Linked DNA regions of Oryzias latipes. Each later gene encodes a partner of the first gene's protein in a complex. Links are inferred from orthologs where the notes say so. Each region holds a gene or a part of one and is shown on either strand. Other genes may lie near its edges.

What was found.
Region 2: the proteins of eif4a3 (region 1) and casc3 are in contact, whole or in part, in a crystal structure (PDB 2J0U), measured with the Homo sapiens proteins. The link is inferred for Oryzias latipes from reciprocal best matches to the Homo sapiens genes EIF4A3 and CASC3. Residues at the interface, in NP_055555.1 of Homo sapiens: Thr178, Arg179, Lys198, Ile201, Tyr202, Tyr205, Arg206, Tyr207, Leu208, Pro209, Pro210, Thr212, Lys231, Phe232; in NP_031385.2 of Homo sapiens: Arg217, Trp218, Glu219, His220, Asp221, Lys222, Phe223, Glu225.
Region 3: eif4a3 (region 1) and rbm8a share a complex: the UniProt entries of both Homo sapiens proteins name them as parts of the ALYREF/THOC4-EJC-RNA complex. The link is inferred for Oryzias latipes from reciprocal best matches to the Homo sapiens genes EIF4A3 and RBM8A.
Region 4: the proteins of eif4a3 (region 1) and cwc22 are in contact, whole or in part, in a crystal structure (PDB 4C9B), measured with the Homo sapiens proteins. The link is inferred for Oryzias latipes from reciprocal best matches to the Homo sapiens genes EIF4A3 and CWC22. Residues at the interface, in NP_055555.1 of Homo sapiens: Met43, Gly44, Ile72, Ile73, Lys74, Gly75, Gln98, Cys99, Met183, Gln213, Val256, Ala257, Glu259, Trp263, Asp266, Thr267, Asp270, Leu271, Tyr272, Asp273, Thr274, Leu275, Thr276, Ile277, Thr278, Gln279, Ala300, Asn301, Phe302, Thr303; in NP_001362958.1 of Homo sapiens: Thr129, Gly130, Gly131, Ala132, Tyr133, Pro135, Pro136, Ala137, Lys138, Arg140, Lys164, Asn167, Gly168, Ile170, Asn171, Lys172, Val173, Asn174, Ser176, Asn177, Ile180, Ile181, Glu184, Ala207, Ser208, Ile210, Phe211, Tyr215, Lys330, Arg331.

The regions. Positions count from the first base shown.
Region 1 is NC_019859.2:156,662-164,571, forward strand, and holds the start of eif4a3 (eukaryotic initiation factor 4A-III), read right to left. Parts: upstream 4,330-7,910; 5' UTR 4,227-4,329; coding exon 4,073-4,226; intron 3,199-4,072; coding exon 3,126-3,198; intron 3,053-3,125; coding exon 2,986-3,052; intron 2,903-2,985; coding exon 2,840-2,902; intron 2,758-2,839; coding exon 2,625-2,757; intron 2,560-2,624; coding exon 2,479-2,559; intron 1,305-2,478; coding exon 1,163-1,304; intron 1,089-1,162; coding exon 950-1,088; intron 623-949; coding exon 507-622; intron 329-506; coding exon 221-328; intron 137-220; coding exon 1-136. UniProt on the Homo sapiens protein: ATP-dependent RNA helicase. Involved in pre-mRNA splicing as component of the spliceosome. Core component of the splicing-dependent multiprotein exon junction complex (EJC) deposited at splice junctions on mRNAs.
Region 2 is NC_019866.2:502,451-508,350, reverse strand, and holds part of casc3 (protein CASC3), read left to right. Parts: coding exon 1-176; intron 177-2,427; coding exon 2,428-2,449; intron 2,450-2,517; coding exon 2,518-2,573; intron 2,574-2,931; coding exon 2,932-3,123; intron 3,124-3,203; coding exon 3,204-3,352; intron 3,353-3,415; coding exon 3,416-3,580; intron 3,581-3,657; coding exon 3,658-4,460; intron 4,461-4,545; coding exon 4,546-4,719; intron 4,720-4,867; coding exon 4,868-4,966; intron 4,967-5,015; coding exon 5,016-5,197; intron 5,198-5,266; coding exon 5,267-5,413; 3' UTR 5,414-5,457; intron 5,458-5,519; 3' UTR 5,520-5,900. UniProt on the Homo sapiens protein: Required for pre-mRNA splicing as component of the spliceosome. Core component of the splicing-dependent multiprotein exon junction complex (EJC) deposited at splice junctions on mRNAs.
Region 3 is NC_019874.2:29,124,182-29,132,124, forward strand, and holds the start of rbm8a (RNA-binding protein 8A), read left to right. Parts: upstream 1-3,868; 5' UTR 3,869-3,876; coding exon 3,877-3,937; coding exon of another isoform or gene 3,938-3,943; intron 3,944-4,457; coding exon 4,458-4,517; intron 4,518-4,596; coding exon 4,597-4,674; intron 4,675-5,240; coding exon 5,241-5,377; intron 5,378-7,943.
Region 4 is NC_019879.2:6,698,082-6,705,318, forward strand, and holds part of cwc22 (pre-mRNA-splicing factor CWC22 homolog), read right to left. Parts: coding exon 7,234-7,237; intron 7,136-7,233; coding exon 6,924-7,135; intron 3,689-6,923; coding exon 3,423-3,688; intron 3,036-3,422; coding exon 2,781-3,035; intron 2,573-2,780; coding exon 2,444-2,572; intron 1,756-2,443; coding exon 1,587-1,755; intron 188-1,586; coding exon 134-187; intron 51-133; coding exon 1-50. UniProt on the Homo sapiens protein: Required for pre-mRNA splicing as component of the spliceosome. As a component of the minor spliceosome, involved in the splicing of U12-type introns in pre-mRNAs. Promotes exon-junction complex (EJC) assembly.

The DNA.
Region 1 (7,910 bases):
AGACTTACCGTTCATGGGCATCTCGTCAATCTGGGTGGAGTAGTACTGCTCGATGTCTCGCAGGATCCTGATGTCATCGTTCTTCACAAAGTTGATGGCCACACCTTTTCTGCCATACCGGCCAGAGCGACCAATCCTGGAGGACGATTCAACAAACATACAAAACTGTTTGGATCCCTGGTGTAGAATGGGAACCCTGTCCCAGGTGTGGCGTGTGTACCTGTGGATGTAGAGCTCTCTGTTGTTGGGCAGGTCGTAGTTGATGATCAGCGACACCTGTGGGACGTCCAAACCTCGAGCCCAGACATCGGTGGAGATCAGGACGCGACTAAAACACGGACAGAAAGCGGTTTCAGTGGGCGGGTACTAGTGCGATGGTTTTAACCAGGCATTCACTGATCAACTTGAAGAACCCCAAAGACTGTTTATTATTCTAGTTCTAGTTTAGGGTGGGGGTTAGTAACTTGGGGAGGGTGGGGGTAGCTTGAGCCCCCTTCTGGACTTACCTGGCTCCAGATCGGAACTCCTTCATGATGGACTCTCGTTCCTTCTGCGGCATGTCTCCGTGCATCGACGACACCGTGAAGTTGGCCTCTCTCATCTTCTCTGTCAGCCAGTCCACCTGCAACAACGCGCTTGAATCCGTTACCCACAAAGCATTGCTGCTTCCGCAGGACCAGTGTTTTCACTCACCGATGGAAGTCTGGTAGTTTACAAACCCTGATCATTGTGTTTGTTTTTCCAACATAAAGACAAGACTCTGTTCAGAACGACTGGAGGACATTTACAGGGACTGAGCTCATGTGGACGATAACCAAACCCTGAGCCCGGTCCCCTTTATGGACATTTGCTTCATGAGACAAACGCTCGCCCAGACGCTTGGATGTTGACCTCTGCTGGTCTTTCCTGGACTCGGGTTTCAGTGTAAAGCCGATGTGTGTGCACCAACCTTTCTCTTGGTGTTGCAGAAGATGACCGCCTGTGTGATGGTCAGAGTGTCGTACAGGTCACACAGAGTGTCGAACTTCCACTCCTCCCTCTCCACGGCTACAAAGAACTGCTTGATGCCCTCCAAGGTCAGCTCATCACTGAGGCAGAGACAAATGCCGGTCACTCACTGCTGCTGGAAGCCCACCGCTTCAGAGCTCATCGGCGGACTCACCGTTTGACCAGAATGCGGATGGGGTCGGTCATGAACTTGTTGGTCATCTCCAGGATCTCGTGTGGCAGCGTGGCGCTGATCAGGACCACTTGCGTGGCTGGAGGCAGGTAGCGGTACACATCATAGATCTGCTCCTTAAATCCTGCCAAAGACAAAGCAGCGGCTGTGACTACCCAGATGGTCACATGACTGACGCCATCGTGTCCTTACGCCACAAACAGGAAGTGATTTAGGTGACCAATAACCAAACTCTGTCCAATCATGAGCCTATTATTGAAGATTAGACCAGGAAGAAGCAGAAATGATGGAAACAAGGAAGCAGAAGGAAAAAACACATTGGTTTGTTTCTGCTGTCAGAGACTGAAAATGAAGTCTCAGAGATGTCAGGTGCTCCAAACCGGAGAAAGGCTGCTCCTGATTTTTGGTCCCTGAGACCCAGAAGCATCTCCGTCTCTGAGGCCGGCCCCAAACCTCTCAGAGAGCTCGTAGTTTAGGACGGTCTGCCAGAACTTCAGCCATGACGGCGGCTTTGACTGACCAGGGTCATTCAGGAAGTGCAGTCACGCCGGAACTCAACTACAGCATTCCCATCGCGGGAGTTGCCTTCTAAAATAACCGGCCACAGGTGAAATCCACAAGCTAGCTGTCAACATTTCCAGACTTTTCTCTTAAAGTTCAAGCCTTCGTAGAAAAATCCGTCCAGGATTCTAGAATGAAAAAGATCTGATGGCGACGAAGAGCAAAAACACCAACAGCCAAGCAAAGATGTGTGGTGGTGAGATGAAGACCTCCCCATGCGCTACAGAGACCACCACCCCCACCCCCCAAAAGCTCTGCTCCCCCACGAATCTGGAATGTTAAAGCAGAAATCTGAAACCATTCTCTGCAGTGACACTAGCAACACTACAGACATGAATTTAAAGTTCTGACCCTGCTAGCGGTTCTGCTGAAGATTCTGCTGAAGGTTCTTCCTAACCTTCACTTAGAACATCTCCATGTCACCGTTAAAATTCACTGAAGTGTTGCTTTAAACGTCCTAAACAGGAAGTGGTGACATCGCGGCCCGATGGCGTCAAATGGACTTTTCAAATCTGACACATTAAGCCGAAAACACGACCACTGAAAGGAAAGGTGACCTTCAAGTGTGTCTGGAACAGGTGGTTCCAACCTGGAAGGACCAACCCTTCCTGCTCCTTCAACACATTTCAGACGTAACCAAAGGTGCCAGAGTTATTCTGATGACCAGCAGGTGAGCTTTCAGCTCAGACAGAGCTGCTTTGCAGGTACAGAAGACGCTGAACAGCAGAGGACCTCACCTTTGTTCAGCATCTCATCAGCTTCATCCAACACCAGCATCTTGATAGCTCTGGTCCTGAGACTGCGGCGCCGAATCATGTCTGTAAAGAGACGCCGTCAGCATTCCCGTTTGTGCCACTTTTGCCATAAAACCCATTGAACCCACCAAAAACCCGTCCAGGGGTGCCAGCTACCACGTGCTGGCCGTAGTCCAGCTTGCGAATGTCCTCGCCCACGTTGGTTCCTCCGATGCAGGCGTGACACTGAACGTTCATGTAGTCTCCCAGAGCCAGCAGCACCTGCACACAGGACACCGTGACTGGCACCGCCGCCTCTACCTTACAAGCCTTTGGCTGAACATGGCGGTGGAGGCGGGGCTACCTTCTGAATCTGTCCGGCCAGCTCTCTGGTTGGAGCAAGAATTAGAGCCTGGGTCTCCCTGACCTGCAGAAGGAACAGCATCACCACCGAGCTGCAAACGGGTTCTGGCCCGTCTGTCACGGGACACAAGAACAGCAAGAACTCACCTGGATGTCCAGACACTGCAGGACGGAAATACAGAAAGTGGCCGTCTTTCCTGTTCCAGACTGGGACCTGAATGCAGCACAGATCACACGTTACAGCATGGAGGACCAGAGCACCTGCATGTTTTCCAGCCCAGACTTACTGAGCGATGACATCTCTGCCTTTGATGATCTGCTTGATGGCTCTCTGCTGAATGGCTGAAGGCTTCTCGAAACCTGTAACAGAACCAGAACCTGGTCAGGTGCTGTCCATCTTCATTTCCACATAGAGAAACCTCATCTGAGAAGTTCCCATGCTGCTCAAACTGAGGGGGACCAAAGTGGGAAGTTCTGGTGATGCTGACCAGAAAGAAAAGTTTTAGTCCCACAGAAAGGATTTCTATGGAGAAACTGGGTTTTAGGGGTAAAGAAGGATCCTCTCAAGCACAATAGTCCAGGAAAATGTAGAGAATTCATCTTTATCAGTGCAACACTTCAATATTACTGTAGATACAAATCTGATCGATTCTGTCTATTGGGATTTCTCCCGTCCTTTTGGGTCCAGATAATATGTTCATAAAATGTTCTGCCGTCTGGAGAAGACAGAACACATGAACAGAAACAAAATTAAAATACACATTAAGACAGAAGTGTTGACATATATTTATTAATAGTTCTGGGGGAAATTAGTAAAATATTCGCTACATATACGAAGCCATATAGGATGGGAACCGTCTAACTCCTGGATCATGACTGTTACGAGCAACAATACCAACAAAGATCGTGTCCAGGCATTACTGAACGAAACCCGCAAATTTTAGTATCTGGTTTTCGTTTAGTAAATAATCAACACGAATTTAAACTAATTTCATGTCAGCGCGGCCGCACGCGGCCTTAGCATGCTAGCATGAAGGCTAAAAAGATGAAGTTTTTCTTCCCGCCAACGACAAAATGATCAGGTCACACCAATCTACCCGCTTTAATGTAAGTTATTACGGGATGTAGTCTGATACCAACTACGTTTTCATTCCTTTTTTAAGGTGAACTGAACCACACAGCGGATTTAGGCTTAGCATCTGGAGGCGGAGGCCTCTCGAATCCACCGGCCTACCGTAGGCGTAGATTCCCCGGAGCAGGTCCTCACGGAGCCCCATGGTGTCGAAGGTAGGGGTGACATCCACCTCTTCACTGGTTTCAAACTCCACCTTGGTCATGTCCTCCTCCTTCAGGAGTCTTCTCCTGCCCGGTGTCCCAGCAGCGGCCATGACGGTCGTGTCTGTCTTCAAAACGAATCGGTAGTCTCCGCAAAAGGGGGGTAACCGCTTTGCTAGCTACTAACAGCGCTCCACGTGTCGCTCTGCTTACGTCATCAGCAGGCGACCAGGTTTATCAGGCGGAAGAGCAATTGTTTTTCGTTTGGAAAAAACATTTGAGGTTTACAATATTGTGGCAGCTGTATAAAGTGTCAAACCACAATTAAAACAGATGTAACCAACTTCCTGGATCTTTTATTTTGGGAGAGGTGTGTCCCTCCCGGGTTACCCTAATTGACCAGCTGGCCAAGATGTTGTTGTCCCATGGGGGGGGAATGGGATGACCATTTGAAATCTGTTGCTTTTGCTTACAACATCTCCAAGCACACCAGCACACGGTTTACTCCCTTTTATCTTATGCACGGGCGCGAAGCCCGGACCCCGGCAGAGGTTCTCATTCCTAGTGGGGTTGGTGGCATTGGCAGTGCAGCCACGCTGCCTTTATACGCGTCGTCTCTTGTGGAGCGGCTGGAGATTGCTTTCAGTGCAGCGAGGGTTAATGCAGCAGAGGCGCAGGAGAAACAGAAACTGTACCATGATGAGAACTCTCACCACAAGGGCTTTACAGAGGGTGCTCTGGTCTGGCTTAATAACCCAACAGAGGGCCGCACAAAACTAGCACCGCACTGGAAAGGTCCCTATCGTGTGGATCGGGTTCTGGCTTCAGGTGCAGAGGCCGCTTTGACATATCGCATTGTCAACCCCCTGGATATGTCTGAGCGGGCCCAGGTTGTTCATCATGACAGGTTAAAACGTTACACTCTTCCCCTGCCTGCTGGTTCCCCAAACGACAGTATGTCCACCCCGCCATCATCCTCTCCTTCGGCGGGTACTTCATTGGACCCCCCAGATAATGGTGATCCACCCCAACAGGGTCAGAGGGACGCGTTTGGGACAGCCCCTGCACACTCCCGCAGTGGCAGAATGGTGCGTGCTCCAACACGTTATCAGGACTTTATTAGGATGTAACAATACAGAGTTATGTCACAGTGAAATTTTTGTTGGTGTTGTGAGGAGACTGTCATATGTTGTTGTGTTTTCCTTCCTTGAAAGATTCTGTTGAATAATATGCTGTTGGTTGGCAGGCAATGTTGTATTATTATTCAGATTTTTTTTTTTCCTCTCCCTCCTGTGGTGGGAAATTTGCCGGTGGGTTCTGTAAACTCATGTTGTTCCTGTTTGGTTGACTTTTGTTGACGCCATATTGGGTCTCGAATGTTTATTTCTTAATTCATTTATTTTATTTATTTTTTTGCACTCCCCGGCCTGTTGCATTTCCTGTAGAAATTGTAGAAATGAGGACATTTCTTTTGAAAGGGTGGACGTATGTAACCAACTTCCTGGATCTTTTATTTTGGGAGAGGTGTGTCCCTCCCGGGTTACCCTAGAGACCAGGGGGCGTGGCAAGTTAAATTTGGGAGAGTAGAAGAAGAAGAATAAAGAATTGGTGAGCGGATCCACTAAATGGCGGACCTGTTGTCCCGTGTCGTTTATGACCACAGAGTGAATGATTATTGAACCTCCCCCATCGCTCGGTTACACAGATATAGAAAAAAGTTAACAACGTTAATAAAGTTAAGTAAAAACAAATACAAAAAACAATAAAGAAATAAAATACAAACTTAAATAAGACGGATTAAAATAAAATAAAGGGGATATCCACGGGCATTGCAATGATCATGAATTTAGGGATTATCAAAAAGCTGTAAATTATGAAATCATGATACTTAGGAGTTCCATAGCAAGTTTATTTTCCATGATGATGTTTACAGAAGAAAAAGATCAGAGTTCTTCATGAAATGTAAAAAAGTATGGATTGATGTTAAGGAATCGATATTTGTGTATAGAATCTACCCAAAATAATTACAACATTTAAAATGATTGGTTTTTTAAATAAACCCCAAAATGATATCCTTAATAGAAAAGTCTGCTAAACATGTAATTTTAGGGAAGAGCCAATAATGTATATTGTCCCAAAAGCCATGAGAGTAAAAACATTCAAAGAAAAGATTCTCAGTTGTTTCAATATCTTCATAACAAAAAGAACAGTTTTCAGGAATTCCAAACCGTTTTCTTAGTAATTCCTTGGAATTGGTTTAAAGTGGACTTCCTTGGCTTTAGGAGGAATGGGAAGTTGTAAATATTTAGTTTGTTTTTGTTTCTTTCCTAAATAATTAAAATATTGGGTTATAAAGTTTGTATTTGAGATGCAGGGAAAGGTCATGTCATGAAAATATTCTTGAATTTGGAAGTGAAATTGTAAAGAGTCAACAAAAAACAAAACAAAAAAGGCCTTTAGGATGTTGAAGCGTTTTATTACAAAGTCATGTAGACACTTATCTTCAGAAGAGGAACACCTCGTCTTCATCACTTCCTGTTTAGCAGCAGTCCAAAAAGTCAGCCATGCAGAAATAAGGACACACATTTGGGGGGCAGTAAGGGAAAGTTGGGGGCTAAACAGAAATTCTGCAAAGAAACCCTAAGAAAAGACAAATGTTTAGAAAAATGCAGTGGGGAAGATGGGAAAAGTCATTTTCTAAACTTCAGACGTTAGAGATGACTTTAAGGTTAGATTTACTGCTGGTGCCTTCTCACTGGAGCTAATAACTGCTAAATGTACTCAGCTAGTACTTTCCTACCTTAAGGCCTACAGTGCTTTACATTCACACACTGATGGAGGACCAGGAGCAAGTGGGGTTCAGTGTCTGTTTGTTCCCATGTGTCGAAGGGCCCTTGGGCAAGACGCTGACGCCCACATTGCTCCTGGCGGTTAGAGGTTGGCGCCGGTGTTCGGCATCAGTGTGTGAATGGGACTGTAGAGCGCTGTGGGCCTTCTAAGAAGGTAGAGAAGCGCTACAGAGGTTTACGCCATTTTAGTTGATTTCTAACATAAAACAGAAATAACAAAACTAAGAGCCCAAAAAAAGAGTGTGAAGAAGAAAATGAATGGATTCCCACCCCTCAATCTTGCCATGGTATGCCCCCGTCATTAAAACAGTGGGGTCATTTTGGGACTCTGACCCCTAGCTGTGGTCCAGTGTCTCTCCGGAGCTACTGCTGGTATCAGGATGTAAAGTTCCCTCGTTCAGAAGCTCCACCATTACCCCCCCTGGAGGGATGTTTGACTCCGTTTTCATCCCAAAGTGTGAACAAAAGGCACTCTTATGCCCCCCCCCAACATGACTGCCTCCAGCACTGTAAGGGTGCCGTAGCCCCGCCCCTCCAATCAGCCACAGTCATTGGTCTTCCACCGTGTCTTTTCACATCTGTAGACGGAGGGATCTGTGCAGCAGCGGCTGACCGGAGGTTTGAACGTTCATCCTGGATCTTCATGTTAATCCAAGAAGCTCTAGAAAAAAACCTCATCTTCAACCTAAAGAACCAGGATGAACGTTTTAAGGCCCGTTCACACCGGGACGAATTTCGTGTGCGATATTCGCCGACGTTTAACGCCTCGTGACTAAACAAAGGGCACCAATGTGAGTGTGCACACCGACAGTTGGAGCTACTGGTGCTTGAAATATTCATGTTTTCTTTGTATGATTCTGACAAGCGTGTAAATACTTGCTCTCTTCTTCTGAGTGAAAAGCGACTTTAAGAAGCATAAAGTTGCGCAGCGCCACCTTGTGTACAGGA
Region 2 (5,900 bases), on another chromosome or scaffold:
GACGGAGGAGGCGCGCGTCCCAGGACAGCGAGGACGAGTCCGGGTCCGGGTCCGGTTCGGACAGTGGCAGGTCGGGATCGCCGGCTACGAAGGCGCGAGGGCGGGACGTGGTTCCGGAGGAGCCGGTGGAGGCCCGGCGGGAGGAGGCGAAGAAGAGCGACGTGGAGTCCGAGTGTGTGAGTAGCTGCGCCGGCTAACCCGGGAGCTAACGGCGGCTCCGGGAGGCGGCCGGCGGCGGTGACCCGGCCCGCTGCCCGGTGGGCCGGACCGGACTGGCAGCGGGGAAACGGTGGGGTGGGGGGTCATTCACGCCGTAGAGCAACCGCTTCCGGTTTACAACTCCCTTCAAGCTGCTCAAACTCTGAGAATGTCCGTTAATTTGAGTCGCGCGCGCCGCAGAGGGCTGGGGAGGGAGGGAGGGAGGGAGGGGGGGGGTCTGCACTGAACCCGGCAGAGGGCTTCCAGGGTCCTGGCCGGCTTTAGTCCGGTTCTGCTGGGTTCCGTGGGGCAGGTCCCGCTATGAGTCACCAGATAAGAAGCGGAACCGGGTTTCTGCTGCTTTGGGTCCAGTCACACGGACTCGAACCTGAGCCCAGAGGAAGCTGCTATGTTGGGGATTTGAACCTGCATCTCTGCTCCAAACATACACACGGCGCTCCTGCTGGCTGCATCACGTGACCAGAGATGGATCAGACGCAGGGTGGACTGCAGATCGGAACCAGCCTTCATATCGGCCCACATCCTGGACCACGTGATACATTCTGACCCCCCCCCCCCCCCCCCCCCCCCCCCCCCGTTCAGCAGCTGGCTTACATACACAGATGGGGGCGGGGCTACCTGGCCAGCACCAAAGGCACCTGAGGTTTCAGTTCCCGCCCAAACACAGACAGACCCCCCCCTTCCCCCGATGGGCTGTATGTGGGCACTGGAGTGAGCGATGATGCGTTCACACAACGCCGTTCTCGTGTCTCCTCCGTGTCGGACGCCTGTCCTGGAACGTCTTCATCTAGAGCAGTGTCTTTCAACCAGTGTGCCGTGGGAAATTGCCCTCATTCACTGATCTAAAAACATTTTCCATCTCCAGGATTTCAGCTCTGTGTTCATCCAAACATCCTGATAAAACACTGAGGAGTTAGGAATATGAAAGATCATAAAATACTTTTTTTTGCGTTTATTTTATTTTATTAAAGACATTTTGATAAGAATGACGCGATTCAGCTGCACCTTCGGCTGTATTTTGGAAAAGTCCCGCCCCTTTAACTGTCTTCACCAATCATTCTTGGGGGGCTTAATCACATGTCATCAGTCTGACCAATCAGAAGTGGTTAAAGTCTTCACTTCCGTGTTCTTAATTCTGCTCATAAAGTCACTCAGTTCTAACAAAAATACCAGCTAAAGCTCGTCTTTAGCGGTGTAGCTTTCCACAGAATCCGGTATCAGACCGTGGAACAAGTGAACAAAACCATGAAGCTCCGAAAAGCGATCTTTGGCCGTTTTATGCACTACATCTCCCATGATGCATTGGGTTGTGAGAGTGACGGTGCACAGGGAGATCTGTTGTTAAACGTCTTGAAACCAACGAACACACAAACTATTTTTAAATCTTCTAACTTAACTTTTATTGCATCTTTTAGAAAAAACAGCTGCAGTTTCCAGCTTTTTCTGCAACAACTATCTCAAAAATGCATGTGAGATTGTGGAGGGAGGGGCTGTAGATCAATACAGACTATGAGATTCTCCTTTTTTTTATTTTAATTTTTGGATGCTGGTGGGCCGCGGGATTTTTTTTAAGGTTAAAATGTGCCGTGGCTCAGAAAAGGTTGAAAAACACTGGTCTAGAGGCTCCAGCGGCGAGTGGGAGGAGCTACTGTTAAAGGACCTGGATGATGTTTGGAGAGCTCAGCGTTAGTAATCCCGCCTCCACGTCTGCGTTCATGACATCTCCGTGGTGCGGCGAGCTTCACCGTCTGCTTTATGGCGGCGCTTCCAGCGCTCCTGTCTCCGTTTGACGACTTCCTGTCAACATTTTATGTCGTCTCCATGAAACCGACATCCTGATGTTCAGGACAGCAGATCCTCCAGAAATCAGACATTTATCGTCATTTCCAGCTGTGCAACACGTAGATCGCAAAAGACGGCCAAAAGGTCAACAAATGATGACCTTAATCCATTTGACCAATCAGATGTTAGATGGTCAGCTCCTTTGGATCCCATTCAAACTGAGCGGCAGTGAAATGATCTCTCTAGACTCCGCCCACTGATTACATCATCAGCACATCACGGGCCAAAGCGAAGGTCCTGATTGGTTGATGCTCCATGTGCTGCTGTCAGACGGTCAAAGCGGTTTGATGAGAAGCCTTCATCTCTGTTTGCTGCAGTGAGGAAGAGGAGGATTGTTTCCAATGGACTTTGTTTGTTTTTTTGCAGGAGAGCGAGGATGAAGCTGAAGGTAACTCGCCCGTCCCTCACTTACGTGGTTACACCGCCACCCTCTGATGTTTGTCTGTCCCCCCCCAGCTGTGCTCTCAGACTATGACAGCGCCGAGCCTGAGGAGAACGGCTCCCCGTCAGAGGTACCCCCCCACACTCTAGGCTGATTTCCACTGGGCCGTCTGCGCTCCCTCCGCAGTCCGTCTGCAGTCCATTTCAAAATAAAACGACGACATTTGTTGCACGCTGTTAACACGGCGGATAACAGCGGCGTCCGTTTTTGCCACGGACGTCATCTATGACCCAAACATGGGTCGTAGGACCCGGCGCCAGCACGAGGCCCACCTGCTCTATACAGGCAGGACAAACCACTCCTCCTGAAGCCATTGGGGAGGGGGCAGACGGACTCCCCGCACCGGAGGCGCCGCAGACGGACCGGTGGAAACCGGCGTCCGGCCGCGGCCTGAAGTCTCAGGCGTTCTGAACAGACGTGTCTTCCAGGGAGCCGAGGAGGAAGCGGAGGGTTACAGCGAGGAAGAGGCTGTGGAGGCCGGCGAGTCCAAACCGTCTGCTGCGGTGGGGGAGGGCGGGCAGGAGGGGGAGGTAGAGGGGGAGGGGGACCACGAGAAAGAGGAAGGCAAAGCCGAAGAGAAGGGAAACCTGGCCGGGGAGAGGCAGAGCGGCGACGGACAGGTGAGGAGGTTCCTGTGTTCCTCAAGGTCCAGTTCAGGCCAGAACCCCCACGGTTCTGTGTTCTTCCCCTGGCCCGGTAGGAATCCACGGACCACCCCGAGACCAAGGCGGCAGGAAAACCGGGCCAGCAGCTGGACGACGACGAGGACCGGAAAAACCCCGCCTACATCCCCAGAAAGGGGCTGTTCTTCGAGCACGATGTCCGAGGACCCGCCCAGGAGGATGAGAGGTACGGCCCCCGGTCCGGTTCCCCGCCCCCCAGAACCGACTGCAGCTGCTTTTCCCTCCGCAGGCCCAAGGGGCGGAACAGGAAGCTGTGGAAGGACGAAGGCCGCTGGGAGCACGACCGCTTCAGGGAGGAGGAGCAAGCGCCCAAGAGCCGCGAGGAGCTCATCGCCATCTACGGCTACGACATCCGGAACGGCGCCGGGCCCGCCTACAGGCAGCGCCAGCCCAGGTGGGCTGACGCCACGTGTCTGGTTCTTCAGGCTCCGCCCCCCCTGTGCTTCATCTACCTGTTGGGTTTGTCTGCAGGCAGAACACGTCGCAGGGGAGGGACAAACGCTGGAGGGAGGGGGCGGAGCGACCCGCCCGATCCTGGCAGAACCGGACAGGAGGAGCTCCGCCCTCATCTGTCCCGCCCCCCTCCGCTTTCCCCCCTCTCTCTGCCGCTCAGCGCAACCACACCTCCAGAGCCCCCCCGTCCCGGAACAGACCCCCCCACCACAGTCAAGCTCACCCCCCCCCTCCGCCCAGGAACGAAGACGCTCCTCACAGGGAGCGGCAGGTGACCAAGACTCTGCCGGAGCCTGCAGGGGAGAGGGGCGGAGCCAGCAGAGGGGGGCGGGGTGCTGGAAAGGCCGGCTCCTCAGTGTTGGGGGAGGACGTTTCTCCGGACGGCGCCACAGAACCGCCACAGGACTCGAGTTCTGCAGTGCTGCTGCAGACGAGCAGGTTCCGGTCCGCCTCCCCCCGTCGGCAGGACACCAGGCCTTCTGCCCCCCCCCACGGCCCCCAGGCATCTTCAGGTGGCTCCAACCCCGACGCCTCCCCTCCCCCCGAGCGGCCGGTGGAGAGGAAGTCCTACTCTCTGGCCCGCAGGACCCGGTCCCGGCCCGCCGACCTCGGCAGCAAACAGACCTCCGTGGAGGAGTCTGCAGCGGGTGGGAGCGCCTCCCCCAGCAGTGGGGGGGGTAAGGGCTGGATAGGAGGAGGGGAGGGGGCAAGTCAGACGGGGGGAGGAACCTCGGAGCTGGACCAAGACGTGGCCCGCCTCAGTCTGTCTGGACCAAACTGGAGTCAGAACCCGGCGTCGTACGTCCGCTCCGAGGTCAGAGGTGAGCCCCCCCCGGACAAGTGAAGGCAGCTGTCTGTGGGGTGGGGGGCACAGGTGTAGTTCCTCACCCATGTTTCTGCTCACAGGCCTAGGAAACCCCGTGCACCTCCCTAATGCACCCCCCCAGTTCTCCAGCATGGACGACCTGGGCGGCGGCGCCGGTCGAGCCAAACGCTACTCCTCCCAGCGCCAGAGGGCGGTGCCAGAGCCAGCCCCGCCCATGCACCTGGGGGTCATGGAGGGACACTTCTACGAGCCCAGTAAGAGCTGAAGCCGTTTCTTTGGGGATGGGGGACAGCTGCACCTCCTTCAACCCCCCAGTAGGGGTCACTGCAGGACTGCCATGGGGAACTGCTTTAGGTTCTGGCCCGGTTCTGCATCTTCTGACCCCTTTCTCTGCGTCCACAGTGTCATATCAGGGACCAATCTACACCCACAGTGATGGCCCCGCCCCTATCCCGCCACAAAGCATGCTGGTCCAGCCCGAGATGCACCTCCCACATCCTGGTGAGTTCTTTGGTTTGACATTCATTTTAAATGCTTCTTCATGTTGAAGCTCCGCCCCCTGCAGGACTTCATCCCCATCAATCAGGCGGCCCCATCGCTAACCCCACCCTCTACGGAGCCCCCCCTGTGTCGCTGTCACCAGGACAACCGCAGCAGCTACTGCCCCCACCTTTTTACCCTCCTCCTGGGGTAATGACCTTCCCCTACCCCACCATGTACCCCACCCCCCAGGTAAGTCCCACTGATGGTAGTAGCCTTTTGAGGGGGGGCCGGCTCTGAACCATGTGGTGGATATTGCAGGGTCAGGCCCAGGTGACCTACGGGGGCGTGACGTACTACGACACCATGCAGCAGCAGGCCCAGCCCAAGCCCTCGCCCCCCCGCCGCACGTCCCAGCCCGTCACGGTCAAACCGCCCCCCCCGGAGGTTCCCTTCGCCTCAGAGTGAGCCTGCCCCCAGCCTCAGCCCCCACCCTGGCGTGAACCTTACAGGTGAGTTTCTGGTGCTGCCTTCACTGTCCTGTTGGAGCTTTCATCACTCTCCACTCTTTCAGGAGGAGCCAGGGGGGGGGGAGTGGCCTGAACCAACACCGTAAGGAGGCGGGGCCAGAACACCGGGAGGGAGTGACCATCATCACAGCTGGATGGCTGATTTCCCACAATCCCCTCTGACAGTGTCATCGGGACGACTTGGACTCGACAGGCAGGAGAGTCCCCCCCCCTCCCCCCATGACCGTCAGCTGGTGAATACAGGACGCACCTGAATGCAGCCCTGAGTGCGTTTGCAGTCGGCGTGGAGCTTTCAGTGCTCACTCCTCCTAAACTCCGGTTTCCTGCTGCACCTGAACGTGTGCTGAAACGGGAGGGGGGAGTACCTGGAGGGGGGGGGGGGTCTGTTGGTGCTGAGATGAACAGTAAAAATCAGATTTCATGTT
Region 3 (7,943 bases), on another chromosome or scaffold:
TGAGGATGAGTTAATCATGGCTGTGCAGACTTTAATCACTTCCAGCATTCAGAAGAGTCGACACGAGAACAATCACTGCTCCGGCTGGACCTTGAAGCTTGATTGCTGCGACAGCAAACATACAAAGTCCACGCCGACTGATTGAGTGGGAAAGAAATTATTCATGACGTTCTGGTCGCTCTGACTCAGTGACTCAAGCTTAGAAAAACCTGAACTTTTGATTCCATGTTTGATTAAATCTGAAGATACACTCAAAGTTCAAACTTCTGATCAGGTTAACTGAATATTGAAAACTGCAGTTTACTTGATCTATTTGTTTGCACTTTACTGTCCATCATTTGGGTTCTTTTTAAAAGTAGATCTTTTAATCATGCAAGATGTGTGTTCTCTTTATTTGATTGTGATTCGGCCAAACAGGCATGTAGAATCAAATATTTTTAAGAAAGGTTTAAAAAAATGCTTAAAAAACAGGTTTCCACAAATCTCTTAGAGTTTTGATGTTCTAACTCATAAACGGTATACTCTCAGCTTTTTTCAGGGTTTGAAATCTGATTTTTTTTATACCAGCTCAAGTATTTTTGATTAAATCGGAAAAATAAAGAGTATTTTATAGTAAATCGACACAGACTTTCATTTATTTTATATAACAATTAAAAACACATAAAAACTCACGAGAACTAAAAAATCAAAATACTAGAGTGGAGACTGAAAACAAAACAAAAAATACTTGTTAGATTTTAATCCCTCTTTCACATGTTTCTATTTTAGGATTGCTTATATTTTTTTTACTTTTTTATTACTGTTTTGGATCTGATAACTTTCTAACTGGTTAATTAAAAACCAAGATAGATTAGAGACAGAGCCGAGTGAAGTGAAAAATATTTTCTGACTGAGCTTTTTTTTTGTATTCCACTGAAAAATCTCGATTTTCTGGATATCCTGGAAAGAATGAGAACCGGGGACAGACAATTAATCTAAAAGATGAAGCCACTTTTGCTTGTCTATAAAATAAAATATTGGAGGGAGGACAGTGACTTTTAGAGTAGAAGTTGTAGTATTAGGATCTGTTGCCAAAGTTTTTACTTTTCAGACATGGAAGCAAAATTAACAAAAGACAAAAATAAAGAGATTGGAAAAAGGAAGGAAATAGCTATGAAGTTGGCATTTAATCAAAAAAAGCAGATTTACTCTTTTATTCTTATTTTATTTCAATTGCTTTCTTTTGTCCTGTTTGTGGATTTCCGACATTGGTCTTTTGCATTTCCGGGTTGAACACGTGTTCCCTCCTTTATCAATCAGCTGCTGATAAGCTCATTGATGAACCAGTGCATATGTGTTCATGCTCCTCAAAGTCATTTGTTTTATGTTTTCATTTATCGTTCACAAGTTTAGAAATCACCAATAAAATGACTTTATAATTACTCAATGAATCCCAATGTTTCTTGAAAGTCCTGTCTTTGTGTGCACACTTTTCTTTGTTGCTTTGTCACTGCAGCATGCAAGGTTGTGCATTGTGGCATCGCTATGGTAACCTGCATATCTTTTGTGGTTTCGCACCCATATTGTACTCCAGGAACAAAGAAGTGATCACAAAGAAAAATCGTATTCCTCTCCGACAGATGTTTGAAATGTGTTGCTTTGTGGAGCATCTCAGAGACGGCGTTTGTGAGTTTCTGGAGTCTGCTGTGCTTTGTGTGGAGTTTTCCTTTTCTCAAAGCACACTGAAACTGTGAAAATCTTTATGCAGCCACGGATGAATCTGCCGTCCTTTGTTTGTTTGTTGGGAAGTCTTGTGATGATTGGTAGCGGGCTGAATGGGTGTGCGTCTTCATCTGGAATGATGATTGACCCGCAGAGATTCTGCACAGCTCTACAGGTTCTGGTATGTGGCTGCGTGATAACACAAACAACAACTTGCTAGCACAACAGTTCAACATCCACTAGGCTAAAGGTCAGGTCAGCTTTAATATCTTCTTACAAAGTGGTAAGAAACCCTTCAATCTACTGTGGACTAGCTACACACAAAATCAAACGGAATTTTAACTTGACAGATTTATACTTTAAATCCAAAATTGTTGTGATCATAATCTGTTTTTGACAGAATGGCGTTCGGGCTAAATTTTATTTTTTTTGTTTCTTTTGCACCACAACAGTTCTGCATGAATGGATTTAAGCTGGCGGACTGGATCATGTGACGGACCACTCTGCTTTTTTTTTTTTTTTTCAGGAAAATCCTGATAAACGTTAAACCTTTGAATGCAACACTTTCATTTAGGGGGTTTTGTGTATTTGGAATAATTGTTGTGTGTAGTTAAAATAGTTTTAGGCTTTTTTAAAGTTTTACTGTAGTTTCGTTTGAAATTTTTCTTGGGTATTTTAACTGTTTTAGGTTTTTATTATTATTATTTGTTTATATGCATGACAGTTGTTAAGATTTTTTTTTTTTTAATCATTCCTCCTCCTGATAAAAAAATAGATGATGGTAAAAACTATTTCACCCAGAAAGCTGAAGTTCTGACTGTAGCAATGAAAATAATATTACAATTAATTAAGTAATGATTAATCTAATAAATATGTAAACAGTCGTGTAAATCACAAATATTGTATCAATCACAAATATAAACTTCTGTGAAACTCTTGAAGTTTGCAGACAACACTACAGTCAAATGCCTTACATGTGCAGTCATGCTCTTATTAGTAATAAAGATGATTCTGATTCTAAAACCTTGACATCAATATTAACACAGAATGTACTAATAATAATTATGATAGAAATTGCAACTCTAATATTAATAACAAGTATAGTCACAATTTTAATAATAGAAATGCTATCCCTTGCAGTATAATAAAGTATTTTAAATCATATTTTTGTTGTGTGAATGTTGACACTAATGTTTAAAACAAATGTATACATTTCTCATTGTTCTCATTATATCAGTGATGACACTAAATATAATACCAAGATAACAACAATTTTCAATTCTTGAAAATATATGGCATGGAAATTTTAACAATGCTATTAATAACAAATATATCATTAATTATATTGCATTAAATTGTCCACACTAAAGTATAAAAAATCATGATTATTTATTAATATCATGATTGAGTAAGTAAGTAAATTTTATTTGCATAGCACCTTTCACAGACAAAGATCACAGGTTAAAATATATATATATATATATATATATATATATATATATATATATACATATAAAAACATAAAAGATAAAAAGCACAAACCACGTAAAACAATCATCTCAAGCCCAATGAAAGCAGTTTCAGTTAAAATGCTTTGCAAAAATAAAAAGTTTTCATGATGATAAATGTAAATTATTTCATAAGGGATAAATTAGAAATCATGATTATTAAAACATAAATTATCGTTTAATATTATGCATTTTTACCAGTAACACATGTGATATTAATCATGAATATTATAATAAAACTCTGCACTAAAAATTAATAACAAAAATTTCATTTTCAAATAAAAACTCATTATTAATCTTATTATTATATTTGACTAATTTTATATTAATAAATGCAAATTTTCTTCATCTCCTATTTTTTCCCTGTGTTATTAATCAAACAAATTTAAATGTATCTCAGTAACATCTCCAAAAGTCTTAATCAGAAAGCTGCATGTTTGTATGAAAGTTGTTGAAATCTGAATGTTTTTTTTTATCTAAAACTCCTGTAATATGTATGCTACCCTGGCATATCTGAAGTTTACTTAGCAAAATTGTGTTTTGTATTAAACTTACTTACGTTTTGTACAATAAAGTTTAAAAAAAAATCTTTACGGAAGTTACGTACTCAGACTCTTTAGTGATTCTCCGTGCGCATGCGCTGTTCGTACTCAGTCAAACAGACATCATGGCGGACGTGTTGGACCTTCATGAGGCGGGAGGAGAAGACTTTCCTATGGATGAGGATGGTGACGGTATTGCGTTGTTTTACACAATTAGAGGCGGACGCACCGCAGTCCTGCCAGCCAAATAATGAAATTCAAATAGCCGCACGTGCGGTCAGAATCACGCTCAGCCCAGACTGCGTGTTTGTTAGCGGGCCGCAGCCGTGTTAGCATCCAGCTAACTCAACGAAAGGCGGTCATTCATCCACTTAGCGAGCCTCTCAGCGGGGGTGCAGCCGTCTGTGTTTGCGAGGGCCGCTTTTAAAATGTTAATTATTTAAACGGACTGTATTTTTCTCTGCACGTTAAAGCTGTTTTGTTTTCTATTAAGCTAGCGCTAGCATCCATGTTAGCCAACGGCTACATGCTGTTAGTGTTGCGCAGATGAGAGAAAAAACGTCGATTTAAAAATTGCACATTGTTCCTAAAAAAACAACCCAAAAACACATATAGTTACTCCATTTGAGAACTTCATAAACTAAACTCTTGTGAATTAAAGGAAACTGAAAACGGCGTCCTTAGGCTTTTATTCGTCTGTTTGCAGAAAGCATCCACAAGTTAAAGGAGAAAGCCAAGAAGAGGAAAGGACGAGGTTTTGGTGCAGGTGAGCTTTCAAAGCATTTTTCCCTTTATTTTTCTTGACTTCTTAGGGTTTGGTTTTGATTCTAAGTTTTTGATTCCAGATGATGGGGCCCGGTCCAGAGCCAAAGAGGACTATGATACTGTGGAACAGGACGGAGATGAGCCTGGGCCTCAGAGATGTAGGTGTTACAAGTGACCTTCATGTTCAGATAGAAGCAAATTAACAAGCTGTAGTCACACTTAGATTGTAAAAAATCTAAGATCTTTGTGTGTATTTTTTTTTATTTTATTTATTTAATTTGATTATAGAATAAATGGTCAATGTTGTGCTTTTCTACCTTTACTAAGCCACTAAGGGCTTGAAAGTCCCAGTCCCATGCACAGTCACAGCCTGTAACCCCCACGAGCGTTGTGGGGTTTAAGTGTCTTGCCCAAAAGACACGTCCACACATGGGCAGGCAAGGCAGGAACTGAACTTTTGATTGAAGGTCTACCTCTGCATCACAGCTGCAGATAACTAATTTAATTTAACCTAAAGTTCATTGTTTAAAAGTTATAAATCAGTTTCACGGCTGCGTTTTAATTTTGACCTATGCAAAAACTAAAAAACTGCTCTGAAACAATGCAGACTTTTACTTTTGAAACTGCGTGAATGCCAGCAGGTCAGGTAAACTCATCTGCTTGTCTTGGTGTGGAGACTGGGGGGTTTGGGTGTCTGATGCCCTGTTCCCTCCCCTCTCTGCAGCTGTAGAAGGCTGGATCCTGTTTGTGACGGGCGTGCACGAGGAGGCCACAGAGGAAGACATCCACGATAAGTTCTCAGAGTTTGGGGAAATCAAGAACCTCCATCTTAATCTGGATCGCAGAACTGGCTATCTGAAGGTGAGTTTAAACCATTTCCTTTTTCTTTGAACACATTTTGTATTTTAAAGACACAACATTTGGATGTCAAATGTTGCTTATGTTCCAATGAACATCTAAGCGGAAGAAGTGAATATTTGATCAACATTAAAAACAAGCATTTAGGCAGTAATTATCAGAGGGAAGGATGGAAGTCATCATATTAATGATGTGGAAGATTTCATTCAGTAGGATTTAATCATATATTTTATAATACTTGTAGAAAAGAAAGTTGGTTGCTAAAATAAGGCTGTTGTGTTCTCAGAACAGTTGCGTGAAGGGGTTAAGAGAGAGCCTGGACTGCCCTTTTGTAGCAGCACTTTAGTTTCTGTGAAGTGAAGCTGATATTTAAGAACAGTCGTATGAAAAACAAACTATTTCGGCTTTATTATTACTGAGGGATTTTCTTTCCGTCTTATTGGTGTTTGGCCGCCACTAAAGGCTAAAATGCTCAGTGTTGAGTCTTTGACTTTTCCACCAAAATAAAAGCTTTGGCATAATTCTGGTCTAACTGCACGACACAAAAATGGATGAGAAAAGCATTTGGGGGGCCGTGAGAAGAAGAGGGTTGACCTTTCTGCAGTTTGTTACTTCACGGTCTGCTCAGTGAAGGAGGAAACCGTCTGACATCTGCACTTTGTGATCAGAACTGTATTATAATAATTGTCAGATTTCAAAGGGTTGTTTTTCAGTTTTAAAACGAGTCTGAGGATACTTAAAGCCTGACTGTCACTGTATTTTCACTCAAAAAAAATATGTTTTTCTCTTTTGGTGCAGTGTTTTTCAACCAGTTTATAACTGGAAAAAAATTCCATTTCACCTAATTGGGCTAAAAAAATGTTTTCCGTTAGCAGGATATCAGTTCTGTGTTCATCCGAACAGACCCGGCTTTTCCACTGGAGTATTTAGAAATGTCTGCTTTGGTTTTATTGGTTTAGTTTAGTTTGTCATTTGCATTGTTTACCTAACATACAGTATAAACAATTAATTAAAAAAATAGGCAGAAGCATATGAAGCTTATTATATGCCTGTCCTTCAATGTCCAAGTTAATCAGTTTAACAAACCAAAAAGTAGGAAACAGTCCTTAATAAATGGAGACAAGTAAACAAAGTCCTTCTACATCTGTGTTTTGTAACCTTTAATATGTTTTAGACTTTTTTTCTTTTAACTGAGAATTACGTCATTTTAATTCATCGCTCAATTCCTTCCATTATTTCACGTCAAGAACTGAAACACATCTTGTCTTGACATTAGATCGAACATTAAACCTGTTCAAAATGAGAAAGACCCCTTAAATTATACTGACCAACTCTTCAATAGTCTGTCTTTTTTGGAACTAAATTACGTTTAACTCTATAAACAATTTCTAATACTTTACTGTAAACAATATCCTTTATTTCTAAACGTTTAGTTAAACTAAATTAGGCCTGCACACTAAATCGCAAATTTGTCGTTAACCCAATATCATTCAGTCATCTTCTATACCCTTTTTTGTCCCTGTCGGGGTCACGGGGCTGCTGGAGCCTATCCCGGCCACTTGTGGGTAAAGGCAGGGGTACACCTGGACAGGCCGCCAGCCTGTTGCACATCACACACCCATTCACACTCACAGCTAGGGACAATTTAAAGTAACCTATTAACCTATGAAACGTGTTTTTGGACGGTGGGTGGAAGCCGGAGTCCCTTGAGAAAATTCACACATGGCACGGGGAAAACATGCAAACTCCACACAGAAAGGTCCCCCATTGGGGTTCTGGTTCAGATCCCCCAGCCGGGACCTGAACCAGGAACCTTCTTGTTGTGAGGCACGAGCGCTAACCAGATCGCTGACGCAATAACAAATTTTGCAATGCCCCTTTGCTAAAGGTTGGCTAAATGTCTGATAAATGGTAACCTTAAATGTGCTAAAACAATATTATGGCAGCTTGAAGTAACAAATCAAATAAATCCTTTTATGCGTTAAGATTGACCAATGGGATGGGGCCCTTTTATGTTAGATGCTCACCTGCTATGTAGACAAGGGTCATTTGGAGTAAATAGGATTTCAGTTATGTTAAATGTAAAATAAACTGTTGCAGTGAAATGGAAATCATGGTTTTGGTTGTTCGTGTATCGCAAGTTAAATCGTCATCGCAATATTAATCACTTGTATCGCAAATCACGAGTTTTCCTCACATTGCGCAGCCATAAACTAAATAATGATTCAATGATAGTTTCTCCTGCATTTCCCCAAATATCTGCACAATATGAAAGATACGGGACAACTATTGATCAGTAAATAACATACAAGCTCTGTTCAATGCATCTCTGGTTTTGAACAGTCATTGATAAAAGATCTTAAATAAAATAAATGTATGTTTGTGTTCATTTGATTCTTAGTCAAGATACTTTGATAAGAATGACTGTGTATGTTTTTGATTTAGAAACTGACATAGCACGTTCAGTAAATTTGGGATAAATAGTGTCTGACTGTAAAACGCTTGGGGAAAGTTGCATCGTCAGTGGCGTCTATTGTGCTGCATGTTTCTTAGCCACAAGGGGGCAGCA
Region 4 (7,237 bases), on another chromosome or scaffold:
GGACGCTCCAGCAGAAGGGTCAGCATCTCCAGACACAAAACCTCATGAGCCTTTAGGGGACGGGGGAGAAGTTTGAGATCAACACCAACGCTGAAACCTGGAGTTATTACAGGTTTTAGAGAGAAGAACCTACAACGTTCTGGTTGATGAGATGAGCCACAAACTTGGAGGCTGTCAGGCACTGTTGCTGTAAAAACAAGAGGAAGGAAGATTTACAAACACAACAGAAGAATCAAGAAACTCAACATTTAATGGTACTTCATTTTCCTCCATTAACTCTTGAACGGAATTGAGAGACACTTTAACACATTGAAAAATGCTCCAAGTTCTGCCAGTTTTTTCCTTTTTGTTTTGGTCCAGTTTCTGCTGCTTCATTACTTTGGACTCAGTTTGGCCTCCGTCTGTTCATACTGGCAGCTTTCCACTTATCTAAATAAAGATTAAACGGTTACGTTTAGACTTCCACTGATCCTGCTTTAAAAAACAATGCTTCCTCTCTAGGCAGAAGAAGGACATTTCTGTAGTTTGCCTTTACTTCAGGATCGATGACGGAGGTGAATAAAATATTGTTTTTCAAGTTAAATGGATTTATAACAGAAGAAACTGTGCAACGACACCTATCTTTCCTCAAGCATGTGGATGCAGCATGACTGCTCTGTCCTCAACAGAAGGAACATCATTTTGTAAGAAATTTGGCCAAAAAGGTAATGTATGCAGGCACAAAATAATAAACAAAGAACAATCCAATCAAACCTGAATTTTATTCAGAATTTCATACTATGATGCTTTCATCTTTTTTAAATGAAAACAACTTAAAATAATGGATCAAATAACAAAAAAAACACTCTAAAAAGAATTAATGCAATGTTGAGTTAAAGAAAGACTCCAAAACAGGGATTTACCTTATGTTACTGTGTAATTCATGATAATTGTTTTAAATTTAGGATCAACTGCAATGAAGTCTTGAAGACCCACTCCGATGAAAATTATATTTTTAGTGTTTTTAATATGTTCTTGTGGCATTTTTTTATGACGGAGGGCACATACAAAAAAATTAAGCTTAAAATTGCATTTCTGAGTGTCTCTTTATTCAAATCAACATGAATCAGGAGCAGATGAAAAAAATGCTGTTTGAAAAAGAGAACATTTGTGACGTAGCAAATGCGCTGGGCGGGCCATAAGCCTCCTGCTTCAAGCTCTCAGCAACAAGGAGGGGAAAGGGGGCGGCGTTGCTCCACGCCAACCGTAACACCCACAACTCTGAGGCATATTTCTATTGAACTATCACTGCTCTGCAGAAACTATGTCCTAGAAAACGACAGGTTTTTTGCTTTTGGTCAAAAAACTGCACAATATTTAATTAAAAGACCAGGGGGACGCTTTGCAAATAGATCAAAAGATGATAAAAATATGATAATTTTTCACATGCAGTTGAAATCAGAGATTCAAAACAATCAAATAATTCAGAGCTAAAGATGAGCTACAGGAACACGTTTTGCTTAGTAGCCCTTCAGATGGGAAGCACACACAGCGTCTCTACTATCTGATGAAGATGATGCATGACTCAGCAGAAACGACAGAGACACCTTGAGGTTGCGGCGGTAGCTCCGTCTGAAGGTCAGGATGAGGCGTTTGAGGATCAGCTCTCCAATCTGAGGGAACTTTGAGTTGATGATGGCAACCACAGCAGCGTAGACGTGAGTGAAGATGGGAGAAGCTGCCTGAGCTTGCAGCACCGATCGAGCCAGCAAACCCCTGACAGAAACACACACAGAAAGGAGGCGTCACACAGGAGCTTTGGGACTTAAAACACACACATCAGGTCCAGATGTTTGACTCCTATAGGAAAACTTAGAAATAACATTCAAAAAGGGCTGCACGTTATGAGGAAAACTGGCGATTTGCGATATTAGTGATCAGTTTTGCGATGAGGATATAACTTGCGATAAATCAACATATAGCAAAACAACTAAAAACATAATTTCCATTTCACTGAAAGAGATTAATTTAAATAAGAGTCAACATAACTTAAATTACACTCCAAATGACCCCCGCCTACATAAGAGGCGAACATCTAACATAAAAGGCCTCCATCTGATTGGTCAATGTTGTAAAGGGTCCATCTGAGAGGTCAAATGCAGAAATGGATTTATTTGATTCGTTAAATACTTTAAGGTGTCATAGGACTGTTTGAGCACATTGAAGGGAACCATTTATTGCAATTTTTCGCCGTCTTTTGCGATATGCGTATTGTATAATAATTGATTTGCGATTTATTTTGCAGGCCTACATTCTAGTTTTTTAAATTATTTGATAAATAAAAATGACTTAATAAAAGCAACGGAAACTGTTCTTCAAAGCAGAATATCGTATATTAGCCTCAGTTGTTACTGAGGTTTTTCAGAAGTTATGTGCAGTGTTTTTTATCTGACCATAAGCTCACCTCCCTCTGACGATATTTTCGTGTAGGAGCTCCTGGATGATGTTGACGATGTTGGACACGTTGACTTTGTTGATCAAACCGTTGATGGACTTCTTCAGAGCCTCCCAGCTCATCCTCTGATAGGCCAGGCTGTACAGGCAGGCAACGAGTTAATCAACTGGCTAATAAACTGACTTCAGCTGCTGAACAGACAAATAAATGAAATAATAAGTGATCTGAAGCTGCTAATAAAACGTAAAAATGGTGAATAGCTTGATAAAAACCTGCCACTAAAATGGAAAGTTCCAGAATGGGTTCATACCTTTAGTTAAATAAAAGGTCTTAATCTCTGTCTCACCTGCTCTTGTCAGTGATTTGTTGCTGCATCATGCGCAGCTTGGCAGGGGGAATGTAAGCACCCCCGGTCCTGGTCAGGATCGGATCAATCTCCTCCTTTTTCTTCTTAACGGGAGGCTTTTCGGCAGAATCTGGCTCCTTGTCATTGGAAGGAGAAGCGGAGCGGCCCCGCCTCCTCTCACCGGACTCCATATCCCTGTTGCCTCGCCAATCAAAGCGTCCATTTCTATCGTCGCGTTGATCCTGGTAGCGATCCCTGAAAATCAAAAATATTCAAAAGGTTTTGTGTCAAACCCGTGAAAGGTTCGATTTCTTGAGACTCACGTTCGTCCAATCTGTTCAACATTAGTTCTAAAGAGTGGATTTAAATATGTTAAAAGACTTTACAAAAATAATTTTGACCCAAAAAAAAGTTAGGTCTACAAATAAACATGGGGAAAAAAATGATAAATCCAGCAAAAAAAAGAACATCTAAGAGTAAAAATAATTATGACAAACCTTTGATTTAAAATAAGATAATTCTAAACTAGGGTACCCTAACATATAAATCCACAGCTGCTTAATGAAATTCAAAGAAGTTTTTCCTTCTATTTAAAAGAAATAGGATGAAATCAGACAGTGTTGGTGTGTGTCTAACAGTTACCGAGCATAATATCTTCTGTTAGAACGGTCTGGGTTCCGGTCTCTAGATTTGGACCTGGATCTGTCCCGTCTTCTGGACCTCGATCCGTCTCTTCCCCTGGATCTTGATCTGGATCTGGATCTATCACGACCCCTGGACTGAGATCTTTCTCTCTCCCTGGACCGGGGTTGGTCTTTCTCACCCGACTTGGATCTGGATCTGGATCTGGATCTGGAGTTGTCCTTTTCCCTGGATCTGGACCTTGCTTGCTCTTTCAACTCCGGTCTCTGAAAGACACAAACATAGGACAGTTAATCAAGACTGCCAACTTAAGCTGTTCACATCATGCAACTATGTGAGCTTTTGGGTTACCATTACAAATCAATCTAAAAAAACAAATATTCCATTTCTATTGATTAAAAAAAGACATTTTTTTGCTTCCAAGCTTTAGTTCAGTTGAGTGACGGAAGCAACTCTGCAGTCCATCGTCTGTCTACATCCGTCTGCTTTAAATAAGAGCCTGCAGGTAACTGGAGAGCTCGTCTCTCAGAAAACAGTCATTGCCACAAAGTCTTCTTTCATTTGTTATTGTCTCAATCAGTACTCCAGTTTTTGCTCAGATATCCTGGGGTGCCTTTCTTCAATAAAAAAAAAGCTAATTTCCCTCTGCCTGAAATCTCAATTAAGATGCTATTTTTTTTTAATCTGAAATTATTAATTACAAGTAGTATTTAAAAGAATTTAACATCAGATAAAATATGTTGTATTTAGTCACAAAGTCAAGGTATCTATTAAAATGATGCTCATGATGGCAGAAATGCTTAACTAAGATTCAGATGATGGCAGATGGAAATGATATTGCATCTTTTTTGGCAGCTTTCTCTGCGAGTTTGTTTAAACTAAATGGTGGTCAGTTTTCATTCATGAAACCTGAAGACTTTAAATCAACAATGTAAAAATAGTGGATGTGCAAATGTCTACAGTACATAAAGCTTTTCTGGGGCACAGTGTACTCTTTAAACTGATAATAGTGTGACATCAGAAAAAAAGAGGACATTTTGATCATTAGAAAAAGAAAAAAAGCTTTGAAATGAATTAAGACAAGTATATAATAAGGACACTCAGACATTCAAGAAGAAACCTTTACAAAATAAAAAAGTTAATGACAGACTTCACACATTTAAATTCCAGATGCATCTGATTTTGAAAAGCCAGACAGATAAAACATGATTTTCCAAGTCTTTAGGATTAACAGCACAATGTAATATATTTAAACAGAGAAGTTAATTTCAATAGTTTATTTATGTTGACTCTTTTTTTAAACTAAGAAAGACAAGTGGAAAATTATCATTAAAAGTTGAAGTTTTTTCTTCTTTTTTTCTCCTTTAAGGAGTCTTAAATAGTATATTCAAAACAGACACTTTCTACATGGAAAAGAGTATTAATTTCCATAATTCATTTCAAAAAATTGAACTTTTATAGTGTAAAGGTTTGGGGCCCACCATTTAATTGATTTCAAGTGTATTTGTTTGGGGATTAATTGGAGTTCCAGCTCATAAAACCCACAAAAACAAGATTTCAGAAAATCTGAATACGGTACTGTGGGGAAATCTCCCCTTTTGCAAGAAGATAAAGACGGAGGTCATGATCACATGAAATCCATTAAAATAATGTATTTTCAAAATGATATGTCGATCTTCATTGCTAGGTTGGGAATCCCTTAGCCTTAACAACTGCCTTGATGCACTGTGACATTGATGCAATCAGCTTGTGGCGTTATGGGAGCCCAGATTTTCTTGATGCTGCCGTCAGCTCTTTTTTTGTTTGACCCCATACATTTTCAATGGCCTTTAGGTTTATCGAGTTGGCAGGCCAGACGAGCATCAAACCAGGCTTTGGAGCTTGTAGCGATATGGGCGGGGTCTAAGTCCTGCTGGAAGATGAAATCTGCGTCTCCATCCAGATCCTCAGCAGGAGGAATCATGAAGTCTTCTAGAACAGTGGTCCCCAACGTTTTTAATGCCACGGACCGGTATGACGTCACAGAAAGGTTCCTAGGACCCGTCTTGAAACTTGTAGACAGATGATTATGGTCGCTATGCCATGATAAACAAGTACCAGAGTCATGGCAAGACGAAGCCTGAGCTTTTATTTTTACACGCATGACATCGTACAGGTGTCATCATCCTCTCCCCTTCCCACATTCATGGTGCAAAAAAAAAAGAAGTACTGTCTACTAAATGTAGCCTTCTTTTTTTGGAAGTGGAAGGCTCCTCTTCTGTTCCCAGGCTGGGTGTTTTCCCCTTGGCAAAGAAACTTTCCACAGACGTTTGTTTTTACTCATTTTGCTAGATCCTGGGTTTTATTTTAGCTGTAACCTATCACATGATCGAGAAGAGCGCCTCGGCCTGCATCAAGAGTGACATAAACGGATAAAACAGATAATCGGGCAATTTTTCAATATAAAACATCTTTCAGATTCGGAAATAAATAAAACGGAAGTAATGCAAGCTTCTTTTTTTTTTCTTCCTCCACGGCCCGTTAACAAATGACTCACGGACCGGTACCAGTCCGCGACCCGGGGGTTTGGGGACCGCTGCTCTAGAACATTCTGCTAGACGGAAATCAGAGTTTTCCAACACCAGTGCTGGAAATTGCAGCCCAAATCAGGACTGACTGTGGAGATTTCACACTGGACCCCTAGCAGTTTGGGTTCTGCTCCTCACCAGTCCAAATAAACGGCACACTTATCTCTCATAACAAAACAGGACCGTGGACCGCTGGCCAACAGTCCAGTCCTTCTTCATTTTGGCCCCATTGAAATGTTTCCTCCGTTTGTCCAGGCTCAGAAGTGGTTTAACCCGAGGAACCCGACAGTTGTAGCCCATCTCCCACATGCGTCTGAGTGTAGTGGTTCTTAAAGCTGTTCCTCCCCCCCATTCCACTCTTTCTGGATTTCTGGAGCTTCTTTAATCTTTTGATAATCCGCTGAAGCCCACGGTTGTCTCTTTTGCTCCTGCATCTTCTCTTGCCACATTTTACCCTTCCATTGAACTTTCCAGTGATCTGCTTGGACAGCTGTGAACAGCCAGCTTCCTTAGCTAGGAACGTTGGTGACTGATTACCCAGACTATGGAGGGATCAATGACGGTCTTCTGGCCAGTTGTGAAGTCTAAAGTCTTCCCCATATTGAACCTTGATTTTAGTAGGTGATTAGTTGATGAAACCCAATTTAAAACATTCATGCTAGCTAAATTTAGGAAAATATTTCCATAGTATTCCAATTTTTTTTGAAATCCTGTTTTTTGTGGGTTTCATAAGCTGGAATCCTAATTTATGCAAAATAAATAAATAAATAAAAAAATCAAATAAATACGCGAAATTAATTAAACAAAGGGACATGAGATTAGATTCTATTAAAGTGTATTTTTTAATGCAATTATGGAAATGAACATACTATTGTTATGATATTCAAATTTTTGGAAGTTGATTGTAAAACAGTACGTATATGAAATAACTCACTTTGATTTCAGCAACACTACTCCGTATCTTCCTTAGTGCACCATGATGTTCATCTTCACTGCTGCTGCTGTCTGAGCTGCTAGAGTTGGGGCTCTTGGATGAGTTCCTGGACATTGGAGACTTTCTTTGTGGAGACTGCTGCTCTTTGGTGCTTTCCTCCTCTGCACTAACTTGTTGGAGTCTCCCATCAGCTGGATTGGATTCGTCACCTGCTGTACATCCAGAACAGACCCAAATAACAATTTGATATCAAATCAACTGATGCCGACATTTGATTACTACACTATTGTTCTGGCAGTGTTTTACTCACCTCT